Nothobranchius furzeri: one gene and its partners. The protein of the gene in region 1 interacts with the protein of each later gene in a pairwise test. Links are inferred from orthologs where the notes say so. Each region holds a gene or a part of one and is shown in the gene's direction. Other genes may lie near its edges. The genes, in order: lsm1, smx5, clic1, psmb8a, psmb5 and lsm4.

Region 1 (4,953 bases):
AGAACCCCGGTATTGCACCCCACACTTTCCTATTCTTATTTTATTACTTTTACTAAATTACACCACTAAATGTTTTAACAAAAGTATGTGACCACACTTTGTGGGCGTCACACTTGTCCATGTAAGGCCCTATAGACCAGAACCAGGATCTTGAAATGAACCCTGAAGTTGACTGGCTGCCAGTGAAGCTGGAGGAGAAGCGGGGTGATGTGGGTGTATTTGGAGGACTTTCTCAGAAGCCGAGCACAGGCATTCTGAATCACCTGTAGACGGTTCAGGGAGGTTCTGCTCAGACACGTGAAAAGAGAGTTACAGTAGTCAATGCGTGAGGAGATGAAGGTGTGGAGAACTGTCTCAAGTTCAGACGGAGACAGAATGGGACTCAGCTTAGCAATGTTCCTGAGATGGAAGAAGGAAGAGCGAACAAGAGAACTGACATGAGAATCCAGGGTGAGAGCTGGGTCAAAGGTCACGCCAAGATTCCTGACAGAAGGTTTGGTGTGGGAAGCAAGCTGACCAAGAGAGTCTCTGACTTTGGGAACCAGCTTGTCTGGGGCGCAGATGAGGATCTCAGTCTTATCTTCATTCAGTTGAAGAAAGCTCCCAGCCATCCAGGTTTTGATAGAGTCTAAGCAGGTGTGTAACAGCTGCAGCTTAGACATCTCATGGGGCTCAAAGGAGATGTACAGTTGGATGTCATCTGCATAAAGATGGTATGGAGATTCCTTTGAAGGAGCTCAGGATGTGCTGAAGAGGAAGCAGATAGAGGAGGAAGAGTATACAAAATTTGCTTTTACAATTTCCCATCACCTATACATCAAAATTAAAGTGAATTTTACAGAACAATCAAGAGTGAGGTAAGTATACTTATAAATTTATTAACTTATTATAAAACGCAAGGGAAAAGAAAGAAGAAAATACATTTTACAGTTTAAATGTATCAACTACGTCTTTTGTTTTTACAGCCTTTTTATTATTTGAAGAGATTGAATCCAAATAATAATAATAATAATATTACCATTATATTATTATTATTATTATTATTATTATTATTATTATTATTATTATTATTATTATTATTATTATTTAGGGAGTATAATGCATGGTATGTGCACGCATGCACCGTCTGTAACACTCCACGCCAGAAGGTGGCGGTAGTCAAACATTTGCCAACAGCCAAAAACCACCAAAAAAGAAGAACGGGTTAAACGTTTACAGGAAGTTCACCGTGAGCATGTATAAAGACACTTCCTGTGGTCTTGTTCAATAAACATTTTAAAACATTCATGGCTTGACGGAACACAGGGATATTAAAACGGAGAAAACCTAAAGACCAATATGAATTACGTACCGGGGACTGCAAGCCTTATTGACGACATTGACAGTAAGACAGAAGCTGAATTTTGTAGTTGTTGACATGGTTTAGTAGAAAATGTTTGAGTCTCGATATTTACGTACACAAGCGAGTAAAACGCATATCTAACGTTCATGTTTTGTTTTCCTCCTGCAGAAAAGCACCTGGTGCTGCTCCGAGATGGCAGGACGCTGATTGGTTACCTCAGAAGCATCGACCAGTTTGGTACTCTTATTTTTAAAAGTCCACTTTGTTTTCTAACTCCGCGTCAATACAGATGGAAGCATTTCTAATTAATCGGTCAGCTGATGATCTCCGCACCTTATATTTCATTTCAACTGATTTTCTGCTTCTGTTCTTCAGCCAATCTGGTGTTTCACCAGACCGTAGAGAGGATCCACGTGGGGAAAAAGTTTGGTGACATCCCCAGAGGCATCTTCATCGTCAGAGGAGAAAATGTAGTTCTGCTTGGAGAGATAGTAAGCTCATTTTTTAAAATCTGAGATATTTTTATTTAGATCTTTTATACTTCATTTATTATGTCCCTATCCCAAAATGGGGTCAGCAAATGGAAATGAATTAAGAAGACATTCTTTATTTCTGCATAAACATTCTTCCTTAATTTTTACTTTGAGTTATACCTCACACAGAGTGCACGTGATGACGTATGAGAAGTTAAAGGTGGTGTTTGGAACAGCCACAGCTTGGAGAAAAATGTTGTTTTCGACGGAGTAACACACGCTTATGGCTAGTCCGAGTGGGGTCACAAAGTGTTTTTGCCAAATTAACCAAACCCAAAATATTTTATAGTATTCCATGCAACTTCTATTTTGTTAAATGCACGGCACCTCTTGGAGCATTTCTGTGGGAAATTAACAGAAATGAACTGCATCTCCAGCTATTGTAACATTTTTTTGGCTGGAATTTTATTATGATTCTGCTGGAATAAACACACATTTAAGGGAATGTTCACTTTTTAATATGCTGAGAAATTTTGAAGATGAGAATTTGTGACTTTTTTTTTTCACTTTAATGCTCAATCATAACTAATCAGTTTCTCCGAACCAAAGCAATTCTATGAGCTACAGTCAATAAGTTGGATATCAGCGGTCTACAACTTTTCCACATCCGTCCCACTTAAAAAGATGAGAACTGGCCCTTTAAGGTCTGTTTTAGTAGTATTAAATAAGCTACCTGCTTATATTATGTCTTATATTATTCAGGGCACATTTTTCTGTTTAACTGGGAAAAATTCAGATTTTTTTCCAAGTAATTTTCTGCCAAGCAGCTAATGAGTAGTTGGCGTCTTACCTGCGGTGGACAGTCGGGATCGTATTTAGATCTCATGATGAAGTCCAGCGCTTACTCAGCAGAATTATCCTCATCACACACTTTAAACTAGATTATAGAGTTTTACATTGCTGCACAGCAGCAGACTGCTGAGCTGGCTTTGGTTAGCTGAAGTGATTCACACAGACACCGTTCCTACCCAGAGTAAATGGACAGATGCAACAGTGCTCTCCACCACCCTGCATGGACAAGCAGGTACTGATAACGGATGGATGGGTGCAACAGTGCTGTAGTGTGGAGAAAATAAAGAACTGCAATAAGCATTTCCTCCTCAGACGCTATGGAAACCTTGTAGGGAGATCTGTGCTTAAATGGGTCTTTTTCTGAATAGTTTGACTTGATCTCAGAAATGAAGCTTTGCAAATTTCTTCTAGAGCCAAATTTAATAAACGGGAGAATATATTTATTTTTAAAGTCACATGCTGTTTTGATTACAGTGCTTGGTAAACTTTGACAAAAAAGGACAATGCACTATTTGACATCTGTATTTTACTCTTACTTTACTTGAACTTTTCCCCAGTATTGTAATTTGATTAAAATCTGCGCTCCTTGGCAGGCTGATGTAATGGGTGAAGACTTAAAGATAAATGGCTCATATGCATATTTTTAGGTAATGCAGAGAAACTATTATCACTACTTAATGATACAGGTGCTGTTTTAAGGATTTAAAGCTCAGTAATGTTTAGTTGAGGGGGGGTGGGTGGTAATCTCGGTATGAGCGGACTTATGGGAAAGCTATCTTGGGGTTTTACCTCCAGTGAACAGATTTTGATTTTGTTTTAAACGAAATATTCATTGCAGAGGGGCCAATTAAAAATATAACCGTTTATGTAGCGTCTATGATTGAATTTTACTACTTTATCCATTATTTTCACAGCTGATTTCTATATTTATCTTTTTGTGAGTAATTTTTTTTTTACTCTCCTGGTGTAATTTAGGGTTATGAAGTTTAACTTGTGAGAGAGATTCTTGAGCTGATCTTTGCAGTGACCCATTCCAGGGGCTGAGGACCTTCTAGGCCAGCACACAGAACAAGCGTGACTCATGATCTCCAACTTATCTCGCTCTACAAATGTACATCATGCAAATCTGCACTGACACCAGTACAGCCTGTACTGGTGGAGCGTCTACAGCACACAGTGACACTTCTTGTTACCAACATGTATGTAAGGATGGGCATCTTAATTTTGCTTTGCAAGATGTTCTCATCGCTTTGAGCTTCATGGAAGAATTAAGTTATGTCCTGTTACTCACTTATCACTCATTACTAATTTATTTTCAATTTAAATAGCTGAAAATAAGCTGTTAGGCAGTGATTCCCTCTATATGACAGGTTTGCTGCTCTTCACTTAAACAACTAGCCATCACAACTCAGACTAGTACAAGAGTGGAAGTTTGAACCATGTGAGGGATGCAAGCCTGCCAGAACATTTAGTATCACTTAGCCACAATTTGGCTTTGAGTTTGCTGTTTGACCTTGGATGTGTCTGCATCCCTGCAGGATGTGGATAAACCCTGTGACACGGTCTTGCAGCAGGTCTCCATCGAGGAGATCCTGGAGGAGCAGCGACAGCAGCAGCAAACCAAGCAGGAGACGGAGAAGGTCAAAATGCAGGTGCTAAAGGACCGAGGCCTTTCCATTCCCAAAGCGGATAACATGGACGAGTACTGATGTCGCCATTTTTCACGAGCGTCTTTCTCAGTTTGTATCAGACTGCTACATTTACGTTGGAAATTAGTGTTTTTGTCTTTTAATTCCCAGTTGGCTAAAGACGGCATCATTTAATTTTCATTTAGTATTGAATATTTTGTTTTAAAAGGAAAAGATGATCTGCTGTTTTATTTTTTGGTAATTCATGTCAGCGCATTAAATGGTATTGGATCATGATCATTATGTTGGTAATCCTTTCACAGAAACACTTTGTGATTATATTATTTTGCTATGATGTCTTCTGTTGTGGAGATTTGTGAGTCTGCTTTTGACAAACATTACTTTCCACCAATAAAGATTTTAGTTTGTATTTATGGAGCATATGCTTGTGGAAAGAAATAAAAATCCCTGAAACCCCCTGCAAGAACCCAACCCCACCAGCATTACCGTCAGATTCAGCATGGCTGTTCTCTTGTTCCATGTACTCACTAGAGGCAGATTTCATTTGGATAATTGAGTTGAAGCATATCAGTGCATCGGACAGCTTCCTGTTGTAGAGAGGACGGGTTGGAGAAATCGATCCTATTAGGCTTCATCA
Region 2 (4,977 bases), on another chromosome or scaffold:
ATGAGATTTTGTTCATTATAAAAAATTGCTAATATTATTTTATTATGGTTTTATTATTTTCATTTTACTACTCACATTTCTGATATTACAAAATAAACATAAAAAGTGTCGATAAACATCAACAGGCTTTTGGAGAGATACATTTCTAGAAATGCAAGAGGGGGCTGCACACAATCACCCTGAGTACCACAGATGGCCCCCGTGCCATACTGTGAACATGCCTGTTAGCATCTTTGTGTGTGTGTGTGTGTGTGTGTGTGTGTGTGTGTGTGTGTGTGTGTGTGGCGGGGGGGGGGGGGGGGGGGGGTCACCTAAAAACCTGAAAAACAAGGCAAATATGGGTCAAGCCTTACTTGTGTCAGCCTATAGAAACCAGGTTTGCTTATCATAATGGCAAAACATGCAAATAAAACATATTTAATCGTTAAACTTTCAGCCCTGGTTTGACCTTATTTTAAATAAAAAATAGGTTTCAAAGCGCTAGCAGAAATTTTGAGAACCAGTGAACTCCTCTAGAAAGATCATGGTGAGATTCTGCACACAGTCTGGGCCAAAACCAGTTCATCAGAGACCACCGACAGATGGGACTGGAGAGCAGAGACACTGATGGGACTATACCTGCTTGAACCTGAGGGACCAAGGCAATCAGCATGGATGACTGGTTTGAGACTGGAAGCCTTCCCACACCAGGGTGACCAGTATAAGGAGTAGGGATGGATTCCAGATGTGGTACTTTTTAAGGCACCGACTGAATTATGTGGTACCCACCAGGGATCAATTCTCCTACGACTGGCTTTTTCATATAAGAGGAAACCGTCTTCCCTTGCTGCAGAGTTTTTATGTTTACAGCCGGACCTTGAGTTTTTTGAAGAAAATGTGAATTCAATTCAACTCAAAGCTTTGTTTATAAAGTGCCTTCCGCGACCTTGTCAGGGAGCCCAAGGTGCTGTACACAGTACATAAGAAACATAAATCACAATGAATAAATAGAAAATAAAAGCAATTAAAATAGTGCAAAGGGGGTAAAACATTGAAGTAGAAACAAATAGATAAAACAAGGGAACTCATCTCTATACCAACCATTCTGTCCTGTTTTGCACCATACCAGTTTCCGTTTTTTATTCATTTATTTATTTTAATAAAAGAAGCAGACAAACGCCAAATGTGAGCTTGTCATAAATCTTGTTGCATTTTATCCCACTGTTAGACTGACTTCTTTTCTCTGCTGGGTTTATCTTATCACCTAATTATTAGACTATCTTATGTCCTTGCTTTAATGGGTTAAGGCTGTTTACAAGTTTGAGCACATCTGTCATCATCTGTTTAAATGTGTGTCATCTAATCACAATTTAAATCAACGCTGATTAGGATTTAGACCTATTTTTCACCAGTTTTCATTATTCTAGAAGAAAAACATACCTGCTGCACACAGCTGGGCAAAATAGGGCCATTTACATATATTTCATACGTAGGTAAGGCACACATAGGTTTATCCTATTTACCAGGGCTGCCGACTTCTTTAAAAGTCTCAGAGTGAGATTTTCTTTATTTTAACATATCTCTCTCTCTCTCTCTCTCTCTCTCTCTGTGTGTGTGTGTGTGTGTGTGTGTGTGTGTGTAGGGACGTGGACTATTAGGGTTTGTTACGCAAAGTGATATTAAGGCAGATTTAATTTTTCAGAGGCAAATTAGATGCTGTAATCACACTTAAGTGTGTAAAAAAACACAATGTTGATTAATTATGAGCAAAACATGTCAAAGAAATGGATACGATTCAAGCTGAATATGTTGAAGACCTCTGGCTCCCCCTGGTGGTAGTTGTCTGTATTTGCAGCGCTCCCTGATACGTCATCAAAAGCGGACGCGACTACTGAACAAAGCTACCGCAAAAATGGTGAGCTAACCTCGTTCAATATTCAAAATGTATTTAGCATGACACCAAACACATGACAGTTAAATAAGTCGTTACCTTAGTCTTTGTGTAACTGTTAGTGTTTCCATTCTCTCTTTGTTCATAAACTGTCGTGCTCGACGTGTAGCGTGCAGCTACACGCTAACGTTAGCATGTCGTTGTGCTCCGCAGCTTTTCTACTCGTTTTTCAAGTCTCTGGTTGGGAAGGACGTAGTGGTGGAGCTCAAGAACGATCTGAGGTTAGTGTTTTACGGCTTGGCCTCCACTGCTGTGATAAATCGTTGAAGCTGTTGTTCATTTGCAGGAAAGAACGCTAGCAATTCGACCCACTGTAGCACCACGTTGGAAACAAGTGGTCTCTAAACGCGAAGCTTTGAATGAACTTCTGCTAAAGCTTGAGCTATTTCTTTGTATATTCCAATGGACTTGTAGCTTATTAGTACTGCGACGTTTCTACACGAGTCTGACTCGGAAATTAAGGCAACCGAGCTAAACGAGCCATGTAGCCTATTCAAAAGTGTCCAAATGTTTGTTTTCTTGAATATTTATCCACACATCTGTTTTCAGCATCTGCGGAACGCTTCATTCTGTTGACCAGGTATTGAAAATACACTTTTTGAAACTCTTTCAGACAAACTTCTGCAGTTTTTTGACATTTACATTCCTACTCTTTTTGGTTTTTAGTACCTGAACATAAAGTTGACAGACATCAGTGTGACGGATCCAGAGAAATATCCACACATGGTAAGTAGCATACTTGAGACACATCGGTCCTAAGGTCACGTTGCTTCAGATGTCTGTAGAAATCTGAGGCTAATCTCACTACGAGTGTTTTCCACATTCACAGCAGGGTTAACAAACACAAACTCAGCCCTCTAATTGGTAAAAAGGTGTGATTATTCACTTAAACCAAAGATGCGACAGATTTTTGTTTTGTTTTCAGGTCGAGTACTAAAGCCTTACCTCTAGTCCTCAGAAAATAAAAATACAACTTAATAGGGCTGGATGAAAACTTATTTGTCAGTGTCCTTTTGCAGAATTCCAATTTTACAATATTATACCTCCATATTTTTTCTTCTGTAAATATTTGCAAGTTAACTCCCTTCAAGCTGTCTACAGAAAGTGTAATCATAAATTCATCAGCAGATTAAATGCACAATTTAATCAGATTCTTGTCAAACATCAACCTAAGTGCCATTCTCTATCAGTTTGAGCTGTAGAAACACTTGTACAGCTGTATGCTAACACACATGTAGGTTTAGATATTTATGCCGCTGGTTTGACCCGTCTCTCAGCACCAGCAGGATAAATAAATCTCCGTCAGCAGCCACGGTGAAAAGTAGCGATGTAAGACAATATCGATATGGCAATATATCGTGATGTTTTTTCCTGCAATATTATATTGATATCCAAAAGCCATGTGTTGAACTTTTTGGAATAGTTTACATGCAAACATTTGTGTATTTTCTTTTCTTTTGGTGCAATTCAAACACTGACCGCTAGCTAGCAGCAGTGTGCATTGGGTTTTGTTTCCACCACTGAAATATAAATCCCTCTATTATGGTTCAGATACCTCATGTTTAACATGTTAAGTATCAGTTTGGACTGTTTATTGAAATTTTCTACAATAAATTCAGTCTAAAAAATCGCTGATATCGTCTGGCTGAATGTATCGCAATATATCGTGATATATCGTATCGTCTTCCCTGTATCGTGATACGTATCGTATCGCCACAATTTCACCAATACACATCCGTAGTGAAAAGGCTCACTAAAACACGAACAAATGTCCCCAAATAATTAAAAACCACTAATCCAAATGCAAAGTTTAGGGCAGAAAATTGACCTAGAGGTTTCCTGATCGAGCAGACACGTGAGAATACATGTAATGATCGCATAGAGACAGAACAAGCTAGTGGATAGCAATAGCTGCACCTGCTAATGCTAGAAATTCACTGTTTTTATATTTATATTGATGTAAAGATATTGAGTCATCAGGTTTCTTGTTTGAAATTATATCCACATTTAAAAAATCTCAGCCCTACAACTGAAAGTAAATGGGTTTTTAACTAGAAATTTATTTCAACCATACTTACTCACAACTTGGCTTGCTCATGGGTATCTCCTTAAAAATGTATCAAATCTTGACAAACTAGTTTTATTTTTACCTGAAGTCATAAAAACTCAAGGAAAAGTGATTTTTAAATAGTCTAGATTAACTCACAAACCTGTGGATTTGTAGCCCACAAACGGTTGTGTTTTATTAACACTCTCTGCAGCAAAGATGCTTTTAGTTAATACGTTTACTCGGACGTTCCGAGGACTCACCTTTACCACAAGGGTTAGACTGAATGAGCTTTCCACCGAACGTGAAAGCGTCATGAAATGGACGCTAAACTTACCTCGCTGAAATTAGCCACCGTTATAGCGAATAGGTTCCTTTCTACCGGCGGCTAGTGTGTAAGTGGCAAAAGTGTACGCCATCGTTACGCTATTTGTTTATGTGCTACCCTTCCAAAACCATCAAACCGGCCGGACAGGAAGCCGAACACAGAGGCGGTGTCAAACATCCCAAAACGTTCTAAGTAAGTCACGTTCAGATAGACGTACATCATTTCCTTTGAAACCCCCGTAGCCAATGTAAACGGAACAGAACAGACCTTGTGGATACCTGCAGCTGTCTTTCTCCTTGCCTGTTATTGTGTGGTCTTCTGAAATCACATGTGCTGTTCTCCTGTGGTTTAGTGACATAGCAGGACCAGCTGCGTGGAACACTTTAGCTCCCTTTTCGCAGCAGAGTCACTCCCGGTGGGAAGGGAGCTCGCCGGTAAAACACCTCTATTTCATGACGCACAGCTTTTGCGTCAGGTGGAAATCCGGGCTTATGGAGCGTCACCAGAAAAAGTATTAAAAGTCACCTGCAATGTCTTCCTTTTGGTATTAACTCTTTTTTTTTCATTTGCTTGGTGGTTGTGTGTGTTTCTCATAGTACTAAGGAAAGAGTGTGTAAATAAGTATATATAAAAGAAGATTTATTGCTTAAAAGAATAAGTTTTACCCAAACA
Region 3 (5,022 bases), on another chromosome or scaffold:
AGTAAAATTCAAGTAAATGTCATTTAAAACTGGGTGATATAAATCACGTTTTAACGAGAACATTTCTCATGATTACGAGATACTGGTCCTGAGTTTTTTTCCCGCACTGACAGTAAAACGCTTCCGTACATTTGAATATTCGTTTCAGTATTTCAGCCCTATTAGCTCTGTTAGCCATTAGTTGACCAAATTTAACCGTTAAAATCCCAGTTAACTGGTTCAAAAAATTGAAAACATGCATCATGAGAGCGTACATACCTTTATCTTTCTCCTCTTTTTTCTTTTTTCTTTTCCTGAATCGGGCACCTGGTGGTTTTAGCCTTTTTATGTTCATCTCTTCTGTTTGGCTCTTGACTCAATAAGTTTCCTTTAGTCAGGACTAAACAATTTGACCTTGATGGGGGGGTGACCACAAAATCGTTTTGTTTTTCATTTTTTTATTCGGCCATTTCACACAATTCAGAAAAACCTGAAAGAATGATAGGCCTGTGTTTATGATATTATGAATGAAATGTGCGTTAAATGGAAGAACATCAAGATGTGATTGACTTTAGCCATGTTAATACAGTCGATTCAGCCCCTACCCTCCCATTTCATTTGGAAAGACCCAGAGGTGAATTCCCCCGCCGCACCCCTCCCCTTCCTCTTCTTCATACACACACAGTGCACGTGAACGTTCTCAGTCAGCAGGAGCGCCTGCAGCTGTAGGGGGCGCCAACTTGCTGTTTCCAATCCAGACTGTGATATGACAGATAATAGAAAACCTCAGTGAGGCTAAGATTTCTTTCTTTTTTATTTTTTTTTTTTTTACTCAGCGCTTGTACGCCCCTTTTGTGTCATGAAAAAATGCCGCCCTGGGCAACTGCCCTGTCTGCCCGTGCCTAAAACCGCTACATTATTATTATTCTGAGCTACTACAGCAATCAATTTCCCTCTGGGATTAATAAAGTATTTTGAATTTGAATTGAATTTGAATGTGCCTCTAATTATAATTTAAAAGCTTTGAAAACTTGATTATAACTCTAAAAAATATAAGTCTTGAATATAAAAGATATGCGCGTGCGTGTGACGTGCATAAAATCTTTCGGTCGTTTCATCAAATAAAATTTGTCACGCGCCACCCGGAAATAATTGTGTATTCAGATATTTATATGTCGATGATTCAGACTCACGTTCCCGGTGTTGTGCCAAAGTAGTTACCCCCGTCAAAAATTGTTTCCCCCATTCACGGGAGCAATACAATACTGTAAAACCAGACGTGATCATGGAAACACGTCGCTCTCCGGTGAATTTACACTCGGTTTACACTTTGTTTTTGTTGGCGTTGCTATCACGAAATAGTTTATTTGCAAAATAAGTCACAGTATAAGTACAGTATGATTTTTTTCTTCACAGCAAACGTTATGGAGGGATACAGATTTTATCAGGCTGTGTGGCCTCGGCTGCCAAAATGTGTGCCCCCCCATCAATAATGCACATTGGCGTGGCAATCACGAAAAACTTTATTTGCAAAATAAGTCACAGTATAACTAATAACTACAGAAACTTTGGAGAACATTTTCTTTTTTTAGACTTCTTAATTTAACGTTTAATGTTCTCCAAAGTTTCTGTAGTTATTAGTTATACTGTGACTTATTTTGCAAATAAACTATTTCGTGATAGCAACTTCAACAAAAACAAAGTGTAAGTGGTGTAAACCGGGGGAAACAATTTTGACGGGGGTAACGACTTTGGCACAACACCTGCACGGGAGGAGGAGAAATCAGCACCGCAAAGAGAAAACGTTCAGCACAGTGAGTTTATAAGTTTTAAAAAAGCTTTATTTGTGGTTTTTAAGCTTTTTTTATGACTTTCAGCTTGCTGCGAGTTGCTTTGTGGAGCGTTTCCGGTGAATCCGCAGCCGTTAGTGTTTCGTTTGTTTTGGATTTGTAGCGGAAGATGTGCTCTGCTCTCTCGCCACCGTTTCCTTTCTAGTACTGCCACGACCTCTAAATAAACTTCTGCTTTCTCACTACTTTTGTGTTTTCTCCACTCTTTTCCTCCGTGAAGGGTTCTTGGTGAAGATGAGCAACCCAAACCAACCCAAACTGGAACTTTTTGTGAAGGTAAGCTAGCGACAGATAGGGAACCTTCACAACCAGAAAAGTGACGCGGGGGCGGCGACATGTCTCCATCTGCTCCATCTGCTTTCTGACCACATTATTTCACCTTCAATGTCACATTTAAATGAGAATAGTCGTCTTCAGTATTAGATTCATGACCATTGCTGACTCACGGGGCTTACAGACCACTGTAATCTAATTAACTGCACATTAAGATACTTTCTATATTTAGTTTATTGGTCAGGCAGTTTAATCCCCTTTTCTACGTGTCGTAGTGGATAAAGCTTCAAATTTCACATAATTATTTCTTTCTATGAGCACGTGCGCTTCCCTCTTCTTTTAACTGTTCATGCATGAAAAATGCTGTTGTAACTTCTCTGAATCTTAGGTTTCAAAATTCAGCCCAAGTGTTCAAACATACTGGGAAAACATTTACCCCAGTGCAATTTATATGATCATTGATGTGTAAAAACAAAAAAGAAAACCAGGAAGAATGTAAGAATTTTAAGAAAATTAATCTGTTTGAAGCATTTCCTGTTTCGATTTAGTTCTGTAGCTCTCCTTTATGCTCGCTGCTGTTGCTGACTGTAAAGATGCTGACTGGTCGGAAGCTTCCTGACTTTGCAGCAGTGAAAATTTTAAATTATCAGGTTTATTTTTTTCAGTCCTTTTAGTTTGTTTTTTTGGAGCACACAAAAGACTAGAGGTGCTGAAAAAAATCGATTCAAGTCTGAAACAGGATTCTTATTTATAAAGATTCAGATTCGATTCACAAAGGTTCAGAATCGATCCCAAGAACTCAAATATTGGGCATGTTACAGGTTTGAGATGTACGTTTGTCTGTTTTTTTATCTTTGTTAGGAGAGTTAGTACTCCGTTTACTTTTGTGGTCCCATAAATTGAGCTGATTTATTTTTGAATCTGCTGATAAGCTGGCACTTGAATGTAATTTTTTCCATACTCATTAATTTGAGATACTCTCATATTTATTTTCCAAGTTGATAAGTGAGTACTCAGGATTACTCATGTATTTATTTTAAGTTATTGATAAATGAGAGAACACATTTTCCTTTGTAAGAAATCTGAGGTATTTTTTTAAACCGGTTGAGAACTGAAATGTTAAACTTGTTTCCACACATACTTGAAAAGTATTTGACTGTATTACTTTCAAAGCTACTGTTAGGTAACTAAAGATTTGTTATATTTTACAAGGTAAGCAAAAATAAATGTTGCCTTTTGGTCAAAAGATTGCTTCTGTTTACAGTTTTAGAATCACTTTAGTTTACCTTGTAAATTTGCATTTCTTGAGCATGACCAGTTTAAAGTAAAATGAAAATGTCCCATAGCTTTAACTAACTTGTACAACAAAGTAGTTAATCCTAGAACTGACACTCTTTAACACTGATTGTGAATTGATTTAAATCGAGAATCGATTCTGAATCGAATCGACTCCCAGAGAATCAGAATCGAATCAAATCGTGAGTTGCTCTAAGATTCACATCCCTACAAAAGACAAAATACAAAATGACATGAAAAATTAGTTGAAACTTCCACATTTTGTCCCTGTCAATCATTTGCCTGTTTGACTGCAAAAGAAAATGGCCTGTATTTGATATAGCGCCTTCTAGAGTCCTGGAACCCCCCAAGGTGCTTTACAACACAATCAGTCATTCAGCCATTCACACACACACACATTCACACCCTGATGGTGATGAGCTACATTGTAGCCACAGCTGCCCTGGGGCACGCTGACAGAGGCGAGTCTACCGTACACTGGCGACCATCACCAGCAGGCAAGGTGCAGCAATAGACTGAGCGGGGCTCTAACCTGCAACCTTTCGATTACGTGGCGAACACTTAACTCCTGTGCCACCGTCGCCCCAAAAGTATGAACTTATTGGTTGGATTATGCAGAATTGGATGCTTTCATACACTAGTTATGATTTATTTGTGTTCATTAAAGAAACAGACACATGCAGGTGTTTCTAAATCGTTCCCTGCTGTTGGCTTAAAGAACAAAAACTTAGACTTCCATGAACCAATGTTCAGAGAAACATAATAGAAACTCGTTTTTAATAACTTTTTTTTTACACATACATAAATTATTTTGGCTTTTAGAGTAATTTTTGTGAGGAATTTATTTGTTTTTGTTTTTTTTATATTTTATTGTTTTGCTAAACCAAGTGACGTCAGGTGAGGGAGTCCTGTTAGCTTAATCCGGAGAAAAATATGGATTCTAATGCTGGCACAGAGGAAACTTTAAATTATAATTATTTTTATGACGGGCCAAAACCATAAAGTTATGAGTTTGCTGCACACCCCAGAGAGCAGAGACAAACCAGACGGAGAAACGATCGGCCAAAGCAGAGAGATTGTGCTGCGATGTGAGGAGAAGCAGCAGGGGAGCAGCAGGTGTCTTGTGAGTTAATGATGCTAGCTTAACCCTCCCACTGTCCTAATGGGTGTGACCCCGCGAGGAAAGTTGACCATTGGGCAGGGTTGATGGTTTATCCCTTGAAGTCCATGTGGCAGGGGTGAGGAGTGGTCACCACATCACCCCTGCCATGTGGGCTGCATGGTGGCGCAGTTGTTAGCACTGTTGCCTCGCAGCAAGAAGGTTGTAGGTTCGAAACTCGTCTGTGGCCTTTCTGCGTGGAGTTGCGTGTTCTCCCCATGCATGCGTGGGTTTCCTCCGGGTACTCCAGTTTCCCGTACAGATCACAACATGCCCTACAAGTTAAATAAATTGTACGTCGCTTTGGATAAAAGCGCCTGCCAAATAAATAAATATAAACATAAACATGGACCTCAAGGGATAAACCATCAGTCCTGCTCAATGGTCGACTTTCCTTGCGGGGACACCCATAAAAGACAGTGGGAGGGTTAAACTTGTGTGCTAACATCACAATATTGTACAGAT
Region 4 (4,445 bases), on another chromosome or scaffold:
TTATATTTTAATGACTAGAACTGACTGATTTTAATGACTATATTTTAAATGCTATATTACTATAGTATACTGATTTTATATATTATATAAGTAGTTGATGGTTCAGCTGATTACAAATACAAATCATAATTGCTTATCATAATGCATCCATAGTCTCCTTGCATACAACACAATTTAAAGTGGATGGTAAATAAAATGAATAAATAAATAAATAAATAAATAAATTAATTAATTAAACAAAAGACTACACAAAATAAATCAGAAAGAAAGGCAAACAAGAATAAATTCAAACCACAATACATCCATTTACATCAACTTCCAAACTCTGTTACAAACCATTTCAATAAATGTATCCAACCTGGAAAAAAAAACTTTCCCAATAACAACATTGGCCTGTAGCTAGAAAAGCTATCTCTACTCCCAAACAATGGAATCACTTCAGCAATTTTCATGCTGTCAAGGAAGACTCCCGTTGAAAGTGACAGATATATGTAAATGGACCAATTACAGACTATTTTATAGTCATCATGTCCAAATCCTCATAATCTGTTGATTGTTTTCTTCCACAATTTTGTACAAATGTTCTAATTTATTCTTTTTCTACTTTGTCAAGGAAAGTATTATTGACATTATTTACTATTGTCCTAAAGCTATCTTCCACAATTGATTTACCCAACAGATTTGCACCAACACTTACAAAAATAAGTCATTAAATTCATTAGTGATTTCTTTAATATCATAAATGTCTTTATTCACCATGGCAAAGCAATCTGTGCCTCCTGATTTTGTTTCTTCTATGTTAGTCATGTTAATTATTCCCTATGTAGCTCTTGTGGCACCTTTGTTCTTACGTAGTAGGTCACTATAAAAACACATTTTTGTTCTGTAATTATGGTTCTTAATCTTTTATATATATATCTTCTCCGTCTTTTATTAGCAGTTTAAAGAAACTGAGTTAATATTTGTGTTTTCTGCAGGGTCCAGGTTTGTATTATGTGGATGATGACGGGACTCGTCTGTCTGGTCGGATGTTCTCCACCGGTTGTGGTAACGGCTACGCCTACGGCGTGGTGGACAGCGGCTACAGGGAGGACATGACCGTCGAGGAGGCGTACGAACTCGGCTGCCGCGGCATCGCTCACGCCACTCACAGAGACGCCTACTCTGGTGGAGTAGTAAACAGTGAGTAATCTTTAGTGATACTTGATTTTATATTACTTTATTTTAGCACAAGGTATTGCAAACAGATACCATTAACTGCACAGTCAGTTATTTTGTCCAAACTGGTTTCTTACTGGTTGCATCAATCAATAAAATTTCTTTGAGAATGAAAATATTTTTACTCCAAAGAAAAAATATAACTACTGGGAATTTTAGCGACTGACATCTAGGCGTTTTATGTTTTCAGGGAAGTTAATTTATGAGCTATTAACTCATTCACTGCCAGCCATTTCCTGATCAGAAAAGCCCTTTGCTGCCAGCGGTTTTCAGCGTTTTTTACAGTTTTTTTAAGGGTCACAGAACATTGCGCACTAGGATAATGTCAATGACAAAACTACCAAAACAAAGAGTAGACTCACCTCTTGCATCAGGAATAATCCGCACGCTTCGAGCATTATCCTTTCTTTCATAATCTGTTGCCGAATTGTGATCGGCAGAAGCTTTTCCGGTTCGCGCCTCACTTTTTTTTTTTACAGCAGTGGCCCAAAATGACCTCCTAATGCTTGGATTTTCTGCTTCCTGATCTCATGATGTGTGACATACGTGAATGAAAATCGGCTTTCGAGTTGGGATGTGTGCTCTTACAGTGCGGGGGCTCATTCTGACGCCCACACTGTAAAAAAAATGCAAATGACGACTTTAGTCGTCATTGGCAATGAACGATTGGATTTAAAATGACGACTTTTGTCGTCATGGGCAGTAAATGAGTTAAGTCATCTTCTCAGATGAAGTAATTATGAAGCTGTTACTCTCACACTGCTGGTTGGACCCAAGCTGCAGGTGTGGAACCAGGAGGCAGGCAGGTGCACTCAAAAGTCCACCCATCCATTTCAGCCGCTCATCCGGAGTCAGGTCGCAGGGACAGAGAGGGCCGGCTACTTGGTTCAGTTCCTCCGGGGGAATCCCAAGGTGTTCCCTGGCCAGCTGAGAAACTTCCAGCATGTCCTGGGTCTTCCTTCCCAATCAAAAGTATTTTAATAAAAGTCAAAAAAGGAACAAGAGGGAGCTAAAGCAGGAAACAGTAGGAGTGAAACAGGGTGTATCAGAAGGATCGGTGAACCAGAGCCACTTTGATCCTGAGGGAAATAATTATTGGGACAGGTGAGTTGATGGGAAACAGGTGTGAACACTTTAACTGGGTGCTGAATGACTGTGGGTCGGAATCTGTGTGGCTTCCACACACCCCTAAGATCATTGAGTCCAATCAGAGCATTCACACCAGCTGCGGTGTGGACCTGTGAAATCTTTCTACATGGTCTCTATTTTTTCCAGACGCTGCACGACGCTGATTGTCATGAAGTCAAAGAAAGTACACGAGTCAGACAGGAAGTGAGACGTGTGGCAGCGAGACGCATCCCGTTTATTTCACAATAAAACCTGTTGCATCATTCTGTCGGCTTCTTCTGTTATTATTACATTTATACCAGTTCACTGTGTATGATTGTTCAAGAGGACGAGTGTGGCTGCTGTGTACCAGTTCCTCTCTACACAAGTAGTTGCTGTCGTGAACTCACGAGCAACTTTCCAGAGATGCTCCAAACTGGATCTGCAGTCGGGGGAAATGGCGATCCATCCAGAAGCCGTACGGATTCCAGTCTGCATTCGTTCCACTCTGGGTGTAAATAAAGCTTGATAGTTACATCAAGCAGCTGATTGATGTGATTCCCATCAGCTATGAGATGGTTATAGTTCATGTGCATGTTAGCAAAAATGTACACATTTGGGGGGGGGGGGGGGGATGTACAGGAGAAGAGTGGTAGCTGTAGTTTGAAAACATTTTTTGAACGTGAAATTATTTTTTTGTCTTCCTGCTGATGTACATGCATGTGTTTTTTCTGTGTGTGTAGTGTACCACATGAAGGAGGACGGCTGGATTAAAGTGTGTAAAGAGGACGTCTCAGAGCTGATCCACCGCTACAGAGAGGGAATGTTCTGAGATCAACATTTTGTTTTCCACCGATGTTTAACTGGAATGGCACGTGTGGACGACCCTAACCGTTTCTCACAAGCTAACTGGTTCAGAAAGGATTTTGCGTTAGCTAAATAAATAAATAAATGACCAAAAAAAATACACGTCTCCCAATAAAGACTGTTGCTAAATTAGTGTTTTGGTCGTTTTCATTTAAAAAGTGTTACAAGCCCTTAGATGGAAGTTAGTTGTGGTGGAGGGGTAACATTTTTTTCTCATTTACAGATTATAATTTTACTACATCTGAACTAATTACACACGTTACTTGTGAATTGTGCTGTTTAAATTAAAATGAACATTTCCTCACTCGTATTACTGCCAACATTTGTGATTTTCATGATAGTAAAATTTACATTTTGGTAAATTTTCACACTTTAAATTCACTTTGGACAAAAGTATTTGCTAAATAATCACAAAAATGTCTGAAGGCTCGATCGCAATTTGCTCTGAGTTTGTTGCTGTGAAGTTTCACTCAGAAACTGAACTATTCTGAAGGTTTATATTCAGGATACAAAAGCAAACAAATCAAATCATGGTGCCTATTCAAATCAAATCTAAAACTCTACAGAAAAAGTAGAGAAATCACTTTCTTATAAATGTTTTAGGCGATCCATATTCTTTTGTTGAAAAGAACAAGCAAAAATACACGGATACTACTTGGCAGTATTTAGTGTCAGTTGTGTATTTAAGTCGAGTTATGAACACACACAAAAATCTGGATTTTAGGGATTTTATTTAGGAGCAAAAAAATAAAATTACACACAAACTAATTCATCTTGTTGATATTCATTGTCTGAGAAAAATCAAGAAGTCAAATACAGCATAACTGTTTAACCTCTTATTGTCCTATAATAAAGAAAAAAGCCACGCATCCCATATTTTCTAAATAATAAATTCTAATCCACAAAAAATCCTTAACCAAAACCTAAGATTATAAATCAGATTAAATAAACCCATGAAAACAAACAAGATCATATAAAAGAAGCATAAAATAAGTCATTCACAACAAAATGCAGTTAAAATAAATTGTTTTCAGATTTTATGAAATTAACTAAATATTCAATGTAACCCCATCTGTTTTACTGCTCTTTCAGAATAATGTAGGTTTAATTTATTATTATTGTATGATTTGTGTGACTGAGGATTCCCTGGAAATTAGGTTAACAAATGAATCAGAATAATTTCCTGCCCAACATTGTTAGAGCTAACCGGCCAGCTTCTAATCAACAAAGATGAACCTTTACTGTGGCTTTAA
Region 5 (5,203 bases), on another chromosome or scaffold:
CTCCGGTACACAGTTCATATCTCTCCCGCAGGAGACCCTGCTCCCCGAACTGGCGGACGCCATGACTTTTACCGACTGAATGGACTCCAGGACCGTCTTGCTGGATCTCGGTGAAACTGACGCCATCTTGGATCCACCAGAACGTGCATGAATGCTGCATTTAAGGCATTTAGAGCTAAGATGGCTGTGGGAGAATGTCAGTTTCATATCTCGTAAAATCCCGCGATAATTATTTGCGCAGAGATTTTACAAAAACACAGAACAGTTTGTTGTTCCAATGTTTCTCCTTACGAATAAACAAACAACATTAGGAAAGTATTAAAAATAAAAGGTTAAAAATGTAATTTACATTTAAATTATATAATAATTATTTCCTCGTTTTATTAAGATCATGTATCAGAAACTCGAAAAGCAAACAAAGTAAAAGCGACTGATGTGAAACGTCTTAGATGACTCTCTGGCACTAAAGAGTCTTAGGTTTGCAGAAAGAGGCTTCAGCATATCCAATTCACAGCATAAAATATAAAACAACCGTAAAGCTTTCGGTCGTGTTGGTGCATGATGGCCTTACTGAAAGCTGTTAGTTTTGCATAGCTATAAAAGGGGAAGAGCACATCAGTATTGTCTGCAGAGTAGGCTTTGGGAGTTGACAGCTTTGTTGGGTGTTTACCGTACATCTTCATCTAACTCATGGCTTTAGAAGATATCTGTGGTTTTGAGGAAAGGCGTGTGCATCAGTTCTCCCCTTTATCATCTCTGGAGGATTCAACCTCATCTACTCAGGTGGCTGACTGCTACAACCTCAAATGGAAAAGATCAAAGACATCTGAGAACACTTTGCCACATGTCTTCATGCCATCTATTCCTTGCACCAGCTCTTTCATCAACAGAACCACGGATGGCCCTTCAGTGCCCACTCGCAGGCCTTTTCCTTTGTGCCATGGAACAACAACTTTGGGTTTCATCTTCCAAGGTGGAGTGATTGCAGCAGCAGACACGCGTGCCAGCGCTGGGGGGCTTGTTGCTTGTCCGGCTGTTCATAAGATTACCCCTATTCACTCTCATTTGGTGGTCACCTCCTCAGGTAGCGGTGCAGACTGCATGCTGTGGGAGCGTATTCTGATTAGAGAAATCAGACTCTACCAACTGCGACACGGCCGCCGCCTCTCAATACGTGGCTCAGCTAAGCTTTTGTCTTTTATGCTCCATCCCTTTAAAGGCACTGATGTGTGTGTGGCTCTCACTCTGTGTGGCTGGGATAAGGAGGAAGTTGGAACCAACTTTGGCAAAAATCTGGAGGACACATCTTTTATGACAGACTCTTCAGGTGCTATTAGTTCAGCGCCAGACTCTCTATCCCCCAACAGGGGTCCAAAGTTAATTTATGTGTGTAGTGATGGAGCCCGACTGCAAGGAGACGTGTTTTCTGTGGGTTCAGGTTCTCCCTACGCTTATGGAGTTCTGGATGGAAACCTGAGCTGGGGTTTGAGTAAAGAAGATGCCATTTCTTTGGCAAGAGAAGCAGTGTTCAGAGCCACCCACAGGGACGCATACTCAGGAAACAATGTAGACCTTTTCCTTGTTACAGATCAAGGGTGGATCCAAAGAAAGAGGGAGGACTTGAAAGAAGAATATTACAGAGACATGGAGAGACGGGTCCAAGATACAAAAGGAAAGGGAGAGGGTGTCAAAATAGAAAGTTACTAAATAAAGCAAAGCATTGTGTGTGTGTGTGTGTGCGTGTGCGTGTGCGCGCGCGCGTGTGTGTGTGTGTGTGAGAGAGAGATCCATGAAAACCTTGAAGTACATAGGACAATTATTTACGTTCTCAATCCCCCACAACCACAGGGGGCGCTGTGACATGTTTCAATTGTAGATGGATGATCAATCCAGGTCGTACTGCGCATGCGCAGCGGAAGTTGCTTGTTCATCACGCTCTTACAAAGATGGCTCTTGCTAGTGTATTGAGCAGCGATTGTGTGGATTTTTCATTTGATTACCGTCAGCCCTTCGCTGTTGGTTGTGGTCCCGGTCAGAGCGGTGTAGATTTGGAAGCTGCCCCGGGGGACAGTTTAAAATTTTCTGTTAAGAACTCGCTACTCACCGGAGACGAGGATGGCGTGGAGAGGAAAATAGAGTTCCTGCACGGGACAACCACCTTAGCCTTCAAAGTAAGTTCGCGTATTGGTTTAAAATAGGTGGTGTCAAATGTATCGGGAAGTGTATGCAATTCAAAAAAAACAACAACTTCCGATTAATTGTTTACGTTTTACGCTGTGAACGAGACTTTATATAACACGATGTGACGAGCGTTAGCTTGCTAGCTTAGCTACAAATTGCTTTCTCATGGCAGCTTGATTTTTCTGAGCATCGGTGTTTGCTAATGTTTGTATTTTCTTTGCGACTTTACTAACAAACATGTATTCTGTATGGTAACTTAAACCCACACTGGCTTGCTGTCTTACTGATAAATGAGATGATTTATGTTTGTGATCATCAGGCTGCAGTAAACATTCAAACAATCTGGTTTCTTACACCCAAAATCTATAGTTTTATGGCTATAAAAGAACATCAAAGTTCAGTTTAATAATCCTTTTAAACTTAACTAGGCATAGGCATTAGTTTTTATCTAGTTGGGGGAAAAACTACAATACATTTGACAAAGGAACCAGTGTAAACCAACAAGCACTTTAAGCTAGTAAGCACGTATTGCCACCTAATATTCAAAAGCTCTTCAACCAGAGCGATGAGGGATATCATTTACGAAGGACTAAAATGTTTAAAATGCCTAGGGTAAGAACCACTAAAAGGAGTTTCTGTGCATCAGTATGTGGTGTGAAACTGTGGAATGGGCTGCAGGAAATACACAAACAGTGTCCAAATATAAACAAAATTAAATCACTGTATAAAAAAATGATAACTAATGGATTTGAAAATGAGCTTCTCTGAAGTTATGGAAACTATGATATTGTCATTATTATTTTGCTGTTTTTTATGCTATTGTTGTCATTGTTATTATTATTACTATCACTAGTACCATAAAATGTTAATGCTCTCATTGGTAGCTGCATATATATATATATATATATATATATATATATATATATATATATATATATATATATATATATATATATATATATATAGATATATATATAGATATATATATATAGATATATTGATATATTGATATATATATAGATAGATATATTGATATATTGATATATATATAGATAGGTATAGATGGTAACTTGTAAAGTAAATTAGTAATGAGAGACAAGGGGGTGCTTGCTTCTTCTTATTCCCTTTGGACAAAGACTTCTTTTTTATTGGTATATCTTTTCTTTTCTACTATGTTTATTGATTTAAAAAAAATATTTTGTCTTATGTTCAAATAAACGTTTCAGTCAATCAATATTAGTTATTTCCGTAATCGTATTTTATTTTCACCACAGTAATTGACTTTGACTGGTGTGATTTTAGAGGAATGTGTTAAAGTTTGAGCTGAGCTTCAAGAGCATCTCTTAGATGGACTGTTCTCTTCTGTAACTGAATTTTCTAATGAACTTCTGCTTCTCTCAGTTCCAGCATGGAGTCATTGTTGCAGTGGACTCTCGGGCCACAGCAGGCTCCTACATCGCCTCACAGACTGTCAAGAAGGTGATTGAGATCAACCCGTACCTGCTGGGTACCATGGCGGGAGGAGCCGCTGACTGTAGCTTCTGGGAGCGCCTGCTGGCCCGCCAGTGCCGTATCTATGAGCTGCGCAACAAGGAGCGCATCTCTGTGGCGGCTGCCTCCAAGCTGCTTGCTAACATGGTGTACCAGTACAAGGGCATGGGACTCAGCATGGGAACCATGGTGTGTGGCTGGGACAAGAGAGGCCCAGGTAAATGCAGCAGATGGAATCCACAAGAACATTTGGTCTATATGGTGATCCAAAATGATCAGACAGATTTCCTTATAGAAAAAAAATTAGTTTTTCATTATAACATTTCCCCTTAAAGGGACTTTATGGTCTTTTGAATTTTTATGCTCACGATTGCCCCCTCAGGCCAAAAGCGTAACAGCAGCTTCAATAGTAGGCTCGTGCACGAGGCGCACATGCTGTACGTGCACACTCCTTAACGAAAATAACAGCTGAGACAGTCCCGTGTGTGTGTGTGTGTGTGGGGTTGACTGGCCCAGAGGACAGGAGAACGTGCAGCTAATTAATTAAATAATTTGGTTCTGTACCTTTCTCTTCAGCACAGCCGACAAAGGTTTATGATGGGTCAGTCCTCCTGCATGCTCAGATCATTCCCTTCCCTTGCTTGAAAAATTGTTCCAAAATGAAAGTTGAACCCACATCTTTTTTATCTGTGAATTCAATGCCGTTCGGCGAGTCTCAAATAAATCTGGGCATCTTACTGTAAAAAAATATACCATTAATGTAAAAAAGAAACTCTAAATAAACTATGTTCACATCCAGAATCAAACCCAGATCTTCTGCATGGGAGTCCGACGTCTTACTAGGTGAGCTAAAGCACTGGTGACGTCCTTTGTATCTGTAACATTTATATCCTTGATGACAGCTGAAACAACGTTCAAAGAACGGTTCAGAGCAAAAATGGCTATTTTGTTGCTAATTTGCAGGAAATATCTAGAAGAAAGTTCTACAGAAAGTAGCTAAGGGTCCTCAGAAATGTAGCTAGGTTCGTCACTAGGCGTTAGGAACAGGGACAAAGTGGCACTGTCTCACTCTCTGCTGCTAAAGCTACTGATAGCAAATGCTACGGGCTATGTCTGAGCGTGCCTGCTCGACCCGAGCATCTCTCTTTTTCTGTGATTTTACGGAAAAACAGGCAACCACAGTAAAAATGCCAGGGCTCATTCTACAGGACCAGGGCATTGCAGGAGAATGTCTGAAGAAGAAATTATTTCTATACATGTTTTGGCTGTCAAACTTCCATAATGCCCCTTAAACATCTTTTGTTGTGATCAAACTTGTGAAAATTAAATGTGCTGTTACTTTATTCAGCTGTGCCCTGAATTTATCGAAATACATTTGAGTTTAAACGGACTCACTCACTCGTTACCTTAGCCGCTTTTTTGTCTCTAGGGTCTTGGGGAGCTGGTGCTTAACTCCAGCAGTCATCGGGTGGCAGGGGACATCCTGGACGGGTCTCAGTCCACCACAGGGACATTAAGGGACAAACACCCA
Region 6 (5,126 bases), on another chromosome or scaffold:
AAACAATGACAAACAACAAAACGGCTTACTCTTAAAAGGATCCGATGGCGTTTTTGGTACGGAGAAGAGAAAACCGATATAATTTGAAGCAATAGCGCGGTTTTATTGCTTGTTCTGAACTATAGGAGAAACGGAAGAAGAAGTTAGATAGGAAAAAAACAAAAGCTTGCGTGAGCGAACCCCCAAGGCGTCCCTTTTGTGTTCGCGCTGCAGGTCAGATGGTTTCTCCGTTGATTTGATGGTTTTCCGCTGCTTTTCCGCGTCTCGGCGTTGTCCACTTCAGCCGCCTGGCCTCATGCACAATCTGTCCGGAGCCGTAGCAAACGGGTGTCTTCAACCACCAGCTGAAGCTGGAACAAAAGACGAGTTAAGTTTCATTTCGTCTCCCTTTTGTAGACTCTGGCGGTCCGGCGGGAGAAACTGTGTGGCTCCCGCACATGCGCAGAACTTGTTTCCGGTATTCGGCGGTGACGTCATCACATTGCTTCCGGCTCAAGGAATCATGGGAAATGAAGTTGTAGCTGGCGCTGATGTTTAATATTATCTGCTTTTTCAGAGCGCAGATGACAGTTTTTGGAGAAAATGCTGCATAGCAATTTTCTCATGAGGGCATGCTGGCGCTGGAACATATTCCAGCTTTTCAGAGCAAATGACACAGTCTTTTGGAGAAAATACTGAGTAGCAATTTCTCATGAGGGCAGACCCTCTACAGTAGCAACAAAGTATATAGCTATGGCATGGAAATCTCTCCATAGACCCAATGTGAAGAACTGGATGAAACAGATGTTACAGGTAATGCCGCTGGAATGGATTACTTATATCTTAAAAGCCAAGCAACACTTATTTGACAAAATATGGACACCTTTTCTAACATATATTAAGAAGATGGACATAAAAATCTGAGGACTTATAAAGTGGGAGAGTATAGGAAAATACTCGGTCTTCTGACCAGCATTAAGACTGGAATGGGAGAAGCAAAAGCGAGGTGTAATTCGGGGACTTCTTGCTCACAGTTTTGTTAAACATGTCTATGTGCATATTGCCTTCAGTACTATATATGCTCTTACGTTGGAGAGGATCGCCAAAAGCCGAAGCACAACCAAAATTGTTATATTGTTCTACTGTTCTGTTGTTCCCTGATGATTTTATACAGAATGTACTTTCAATATACAACATAATACTGTGTAAAAGGTGTACACAGAAAATTTAATAAAATATACTTTTTGAAAAAAAAATGTAGTCAAAGATCCATCAGATTGATATTTCATATTTCTATGGAATCTCACATTTTATGGTTCATAAGTAAGATGGAAACGACTCATTCTTTACAAGTGCACAAATAACTCAGATTATAAACTTTACAACATTAACAAAATATAGCACCAAGGATCTGTGCAGGACAACCTGCCAAGAATGTGCATTGTTAGTTATAGACGTTATGGTGCATTTAATCTTTAACTGACACCTCTAATGGTTTATTACTCTTAACATTTAGTATAATGGGGCAATTTCAAAATTTACCACTTTGCAATGGCCATGTCCTCCCATTTGAAGATGTTTGTCTTTTTATGCAAAATTCACTCTTGAAGACAAATAATTTGATATAATTTTTATGAAAGCTATGGCTTTAGTAAGACTGCTGCAGCCTTTTACTGCGGTCAGGCCTATACAATTAACAGCATCACATAATATCTTCACCAATAAATAAATTATGAAGTATCAACAAAAAATTTTTTACTTATTGAGCTCATTTATTCTCATCACGTTCTAACTGATTAAAATATGGAGTGTGTTCATAATTATGTGTTATAAATTACTGTAAAAAAGCTTTTCTGATCAAAGTGACTTACCAATGAAACTTTAGCACTGTTTATATTTTCTGCTGGTTTCAAACTACTCCTTCGGAAGACTCTTGTTTGTTCTCATAATTAAGAAAATGATCTATTCAGACACTTTTAAGTTTAAACAGTGGTCTCAGTGTGGCCACAAAATAAAACGCGCGGAGAGAAAGTGCAGGTTTCGACGCTAGGGGGCAGTGTGCTGTGGTGAAGCCGCCGTTTGTAGTAGAATAAGAAAACGCAGAAGGCTAAAAGGAAATCCTTTCCCCAGGCTGGATTCGACCGCCAGAAGAAGAAGAAAGCTGGATTCGACCATTCGCCACAGCCTTAGGTTCGCCGCGTAAAACAAGCTATAAACCGTCATAATGGTGAGTATCTAACCTCTAGTTGTGGGTAGTTGAGAATGTATTCTTTAATAGGTCATCTTTGGTTCGGCTGACGGAAACCGTGTTAACATTTTTAATAAATTATACCGAAGTGAAAGCTTTAAGATGCTAAGCATGTAGCTAAAATAAACCGTAACATTTAGCTTTATTCAGGAGCCAGTAGACCTACCACAACTTCAGAAGTGTTGTTGTGTTATAAACGTGTTTAAATGACCTGATTTAATTCTGTAGTTTTATGGGTTCGGGGTGAATTACTCTATATTCTCATAAGAACAGCAAAAATTACCTTGTTCCTCACACTGGATGCCAAATGTATACGTTTGGGTGTAAAAACTAGATTTTAAAAAGTTAAAGAAGCATGCAAAATACAGTAAATTAATCAAAATATGAACTGCAAAGAAACTATGCAGAGTTGTTGCACACATTTGTGCAAGTAATGTCCCACATTAGCTGGAACGTGTATCAGTTAGTTAAAGGCGGATTATAATCCCAGTATCAGATAAAGGTACAAAGTAAACAGGTTAATAATCAGACTGAAATGTTAATGTACCAAGTAGAAATTAAGCGTCAGGAGCTCAGCTGTTCAGAAGTCTGGTGGCTGTGGGAAAGTGTGTGCCTCCTGTCTGAAGGTAAAACTGTTGATGTTGGTGGTGAAGAGCCTCTGATCGGGTGGTTGCTCTCCAGTAGACTCTGGATTCTTGGTTTCATGCGGTTTATTATGCGTCAGAAATAATGCTGTAAATGAGGTCTATTCTGTTAAATTAGATTTCAATCTGGTGTTTTATTTTCAGCTTCCCCTGTCACTCTTAAAGACCGCTCAGAATCATCCCATGGTGAGGCAAAACCTTGATTTTAAGTCTGATATTCTTTACAATATTGTATCCTTTAGGCTGTGTCATTAGTTATGTGAAGAAGCATCTGTTCTCTATGTAAATAATAACCTGCTTTAGTAAATTACAAGTGAAACTTAAAAAAAATACAGTATGGTGCAAAAGGTCGTTTATTTCAGTGATTGAACTAAAAAGTGAAACTAATGTATGAGATGGACTCATTACATGCAAAGCCAGATGTTTCGGCCTTTATCTGTTATATTTGTTATGATTTTGCCTTACAGCTTATCAAAACCCCACATTCAAAATATCAGACAACTAGAATATTGTGAAAAGGTTCATATTCTAGCCTCAAAGAGTCACACTCTAATTAGCTAATGATTAGAGCTAATTTTTTGTTCTTGACTTTAGTTTAGTTTGTCTGATCTGTTATTAGAACTTGCTCATTGTATGATTTTTAGCTTATAAAGCAGTGTGCTCTTTATTAGCTGGTGGAGCTGAAGAATGGAGAGACCTACAACGGTCACCTGGTCAGCTGTGACAACTGGATGAACATCAACCTGAGAGAAGTCATCTGCACATCCAGGGTGAAACATGCTTCTCCCTTTAATAAAATGTGACCTTTTGACAAAGGGAAAATACCAAAATATTTTAATTTGCTTAATGTGCTTTCATATTTGGTCTCTCATGAGACATTTGTATGTACAGTATATTTGCACAACTGTGTTGTGAAGGACAGCCTGCCTATGTGAACTGAGAAGTCTGCAGAATCCTGCACTGAAACTATCAGAACAGCTTCAGACAACAGCTGAGATACAATGATTGATTCATAGTGACTGTAAGAACAGACACAGTGCGCTAACTGGACCATCAGTGACTGTAATAATTTTTAAATTGTGCAGCTTTGTGGTGTTTTTGTACATGTAAACAAAAGAAAGATGGGTGATCACAACTAAACATGATCATTTGCCTATTATCCCCTCAGTCGGGTTTATTGTGCTAGACTTTAGGTAAATTAACATAAATGCAAAATAGAAGTGTTATTAATTGAGGAATTTAATTTAAACAGAAACTCTCACCATCTTTTTACAGGATGGAGATAAATTCTGGAGGATGCCTGAGTGCTACATCCGAGGAAGCACCATCAAATATCTGCGTATCCCAGATGAGATCATTGACATGGTGAGGGAGGAGGTGGTGTCGAAAGGACGAGGTCGCGGCGGCTCTCAGCAGAATAAACAACAGGGCAAAGGAAGAGGAGGGCCCGGCCGAGGTGAAGGATGCCGTTTGATCAGGTTGGTTTTGAACTCATGTAGAATTGATTTGTTGGACTGAACACAGCTGTTCCTGTAGGTGTGTTTGGTGGTCGTGGGAGAGGGATGTCTGGGCCTGGTCGAGGACAGCAGCAGCAGCAGGATAAGAAAGCAGGAAAACCACAGGGGATGAAAAACCAGCACTGACACACAATGATGCTTCGTTTGTTTTAAACACTTCCTGTTGAGGGACGTCTGCCTCAGTAACAATGACATCAACTCTGCTGTTTCTCTCTGTTGTGATGTTTACAACAACCGATTGTTGCCAGATAATACTTTAGTTTGATTTTTTTAAATCCTTTTTATTGGTGTAGAAAAGTCGAGGCCCAAATTTAGTTTAGTAGATATTTTAACTGGCTTTTTCCTCATTTCTGTAGTTTACTTCCAGCTTTGTTATCTGAAAGATTTTCTTTATAACCACAGCTGGTGAAGCAGTAGAGCGACAGCCAACAGGACTCACTTCCTGAATATTTCTGTTTAAACCTTTATAAGACGGCATGCACTGATTATGCTTTCTGAAAAAGAATAAAACGTTCTCTTATTCTCTAGTCCAACATGGAGGAGTCCATACTTCCTTGGGTTGATTGTGTTTCGCTTAATTTTTGTAACAAACGACATGGTAATTTATTTACGAGAATAAAAGTTTGTTTGAGCAGTTGCAGTTTTCCTTTAAATCTTCTGATTGTCATTTATTTACAACAGGTGTGTTTAAACTGGACATGGCCTTAAAGCCAGCAGCTTTCATTAGCAGTAAAAGGG

The links.
Region 2: the proteins of lsm1 (region 1) and smx5 interact in binary tests that used the Homo sapiens proteins (3 or more experiments, as listed by UniProt). The link is inferred for Nothobranchius furzeri from reciprocal best matches to the Homo sapiens genes LSM1 and LSM2.
Region 3: the proteins of lsm1 (region 1) and clic1 interact in binary tests that used the Homo sapiens proteins (3 or more experiments, as listed by UniProt). The link is inferred for Nothobranchius furzeri from reciprocal best matches to the Homo sapiens genes LSM1 and CLIC1.
Region 4: the proteins of lsm1 (region 1) and psmb8a interact in binary tests that used the Homo sapiens proteins (3 or more experiments, as listed by UniProt). The link is inferred for Nothobranchius furzeri from reciprocal best matches to the Homo sapiens genes LSM1 and PSMB8.
Region 5: the proteins of lsm1 (region 1) and psmb5 interact in binary tests that used the Homo sapiens proteins (3 or more experiments, as listed by UniProt). The link is inferred for Nothobranchius furzeri from reciprocal best matches to the Homo sapiens genes LSM1 and PSMB5.
Region 6: the proteins of lsm1 (region 1) and lsm4 interact in binary tests that used the Homo sapiens proteins (3 or more experiments, as listed by UniProt). The link is inferred for Nothobranchius furzeri from reciprocal best matches to the Homo sapiens genes LSM1 and LSM4.

Annotation. Positions count from the first base shown.
Region 1 is NC_091757.1:36,768,260-36,773,212, reverse strand, and holds lsm1 (U6 snRNA-associated Sm-like protein LSm1), read left to right. Parts: upstream 1-1,207; 5' UTR 1,208-1,338; coding exon 1,339-1,384; intron 1,385-1,510; coding exon 1,511-1,579; intron 1,580-1,717; coding exon 1,718-1,833; intron 1,834-4,205; coding exon 4,206-4,376; 3' UTR 4,377-4,725; downstream 4,726-4,953. UniProt on the Homo sapiens protein: Plays a role in the degradation of histone mRNAs, the only eukaryotic mRNAs that are not polyadenylated. Probably also part of an LSm subunits-containing complex involved in the general process of mRNA degradation.
Region 2 is NC_091756.1:60,994,958-60,999,934, forward strand, and holds the start of smx5 (smx5), read left to right. Parts: upstream 1-1,814; 5' UTR 1,815-1,891; coding exon 1,892-1,894; intron 1,895-2,083; coding exon 2,084-2,151; intron 2,152-2,479; coding exon 2,480-2,510; intron 2,511-2,596; coding exon 2,597-2,656; intron 2,657-4,977. UniProt on the Homo sapiens protein: Plays a role in pre-mRNA splicing as component of the U4/U6-U5 tri-snRNP complex that is involved in spliceosome assembly, and as component of the precatalytic spliceosome (spliceosome B complex).
Region 3 is NC_091759.1:8,284,304-8,289,325, reverse strand, and holds the start of clic1 (chloride intracellular channel protein 1), read left to right. Parts: upstream 1-1,698; 5' UTR 1,699-1,793; intron 1,794-2,049; 5' UTR 2,050-2,063; coding exon 2,064-2,105; intron 2,106-5,022. UniProt on the Homo sapiens protein: In the soluble state, catalyzes glutaredoxin-like thiol disulfide exchange reactions with reduced glutathione as electron donor. Reduces selenite and dehydroascorbate and may act as an antioxidant during oxidative stress response.
Region 4 is NC_091759.1:22,778,183-22,782,627, forward strand, and holds the end of psmb8a (proteasome subunit beta type-8), read left to right. Parts: intron 1-977; coding exon 978-1,182; intron 1,183-2,493; coding exon of another isoform or gene 2,494-2,510; exon of another isoform or gene 2,511-2,610; intron 2,611-3,068; coding exon 3,069-3,157; 3' UTR 3,158-3,324; downstream 3,325-4,445. UniProt on the Homo sapiens protein: The proteasome is a multicatalytic proteinase complex which is characterized by its ability to cleave peptides with Arg, Phe, Tyr, Leu, and Glu adjacent to the leaving group at neutral or slightly basic pH.
Region 5 is NC_091751.1:63,252,165-63,257,367, reverse strand, and holds the start of psmb5 (proteasome subunit beta type-5), read left to right. Parts: upstream 1-1,874; 5' UTR 1,875-1,880; coding exon 1,881-2,171; intron 2,172-3,582; coding exon 3,583-3,889; intron 3,890-5,203. Other genes in the region: prmt5 (protein arginine N-methyltransferase 5), read right to left, coding at 1-126; psmb11a (proteasome subunit beta type-11a), read left to right, coding at 691-1,707. UniProt on the Homo sapiens protein: Component of the 20S core proteasome complex involved in the proteolytic degradation of most intracellular proteins. This complex plays numerous essential roles within the cell by associating with different regulatory particles.
Region 6 is NC_091748.1:65,761,948-65,767,073, reverse strand, and holds lsm4 (U6 snRNA-associated Sm-like protein LSm4), read left to right. Parts: upstream 1-2,066; 5' UTR 2,067-2,203; coding exon 2,204-2,206; intron 2,207-3,015; coding exon 3,016-3,057; intron 3,058-3,542; coding exon 3,543-3,641; intron 3,642-4,146; coding exon 4,147-4,327; intron 4,328-4,407; coding exon 4,408-4,514; 3' UTR 4,515-5,025; downstream 5,026-5,126. UniProt on the Homo sapiens protein: Plays a role in pre-mRNA splicing as component of the U4/U6-U5 tri-snRNP complex that is involved in spliceosome assembly, and as component of the precatalytic spliceosome (spliceosome B complex).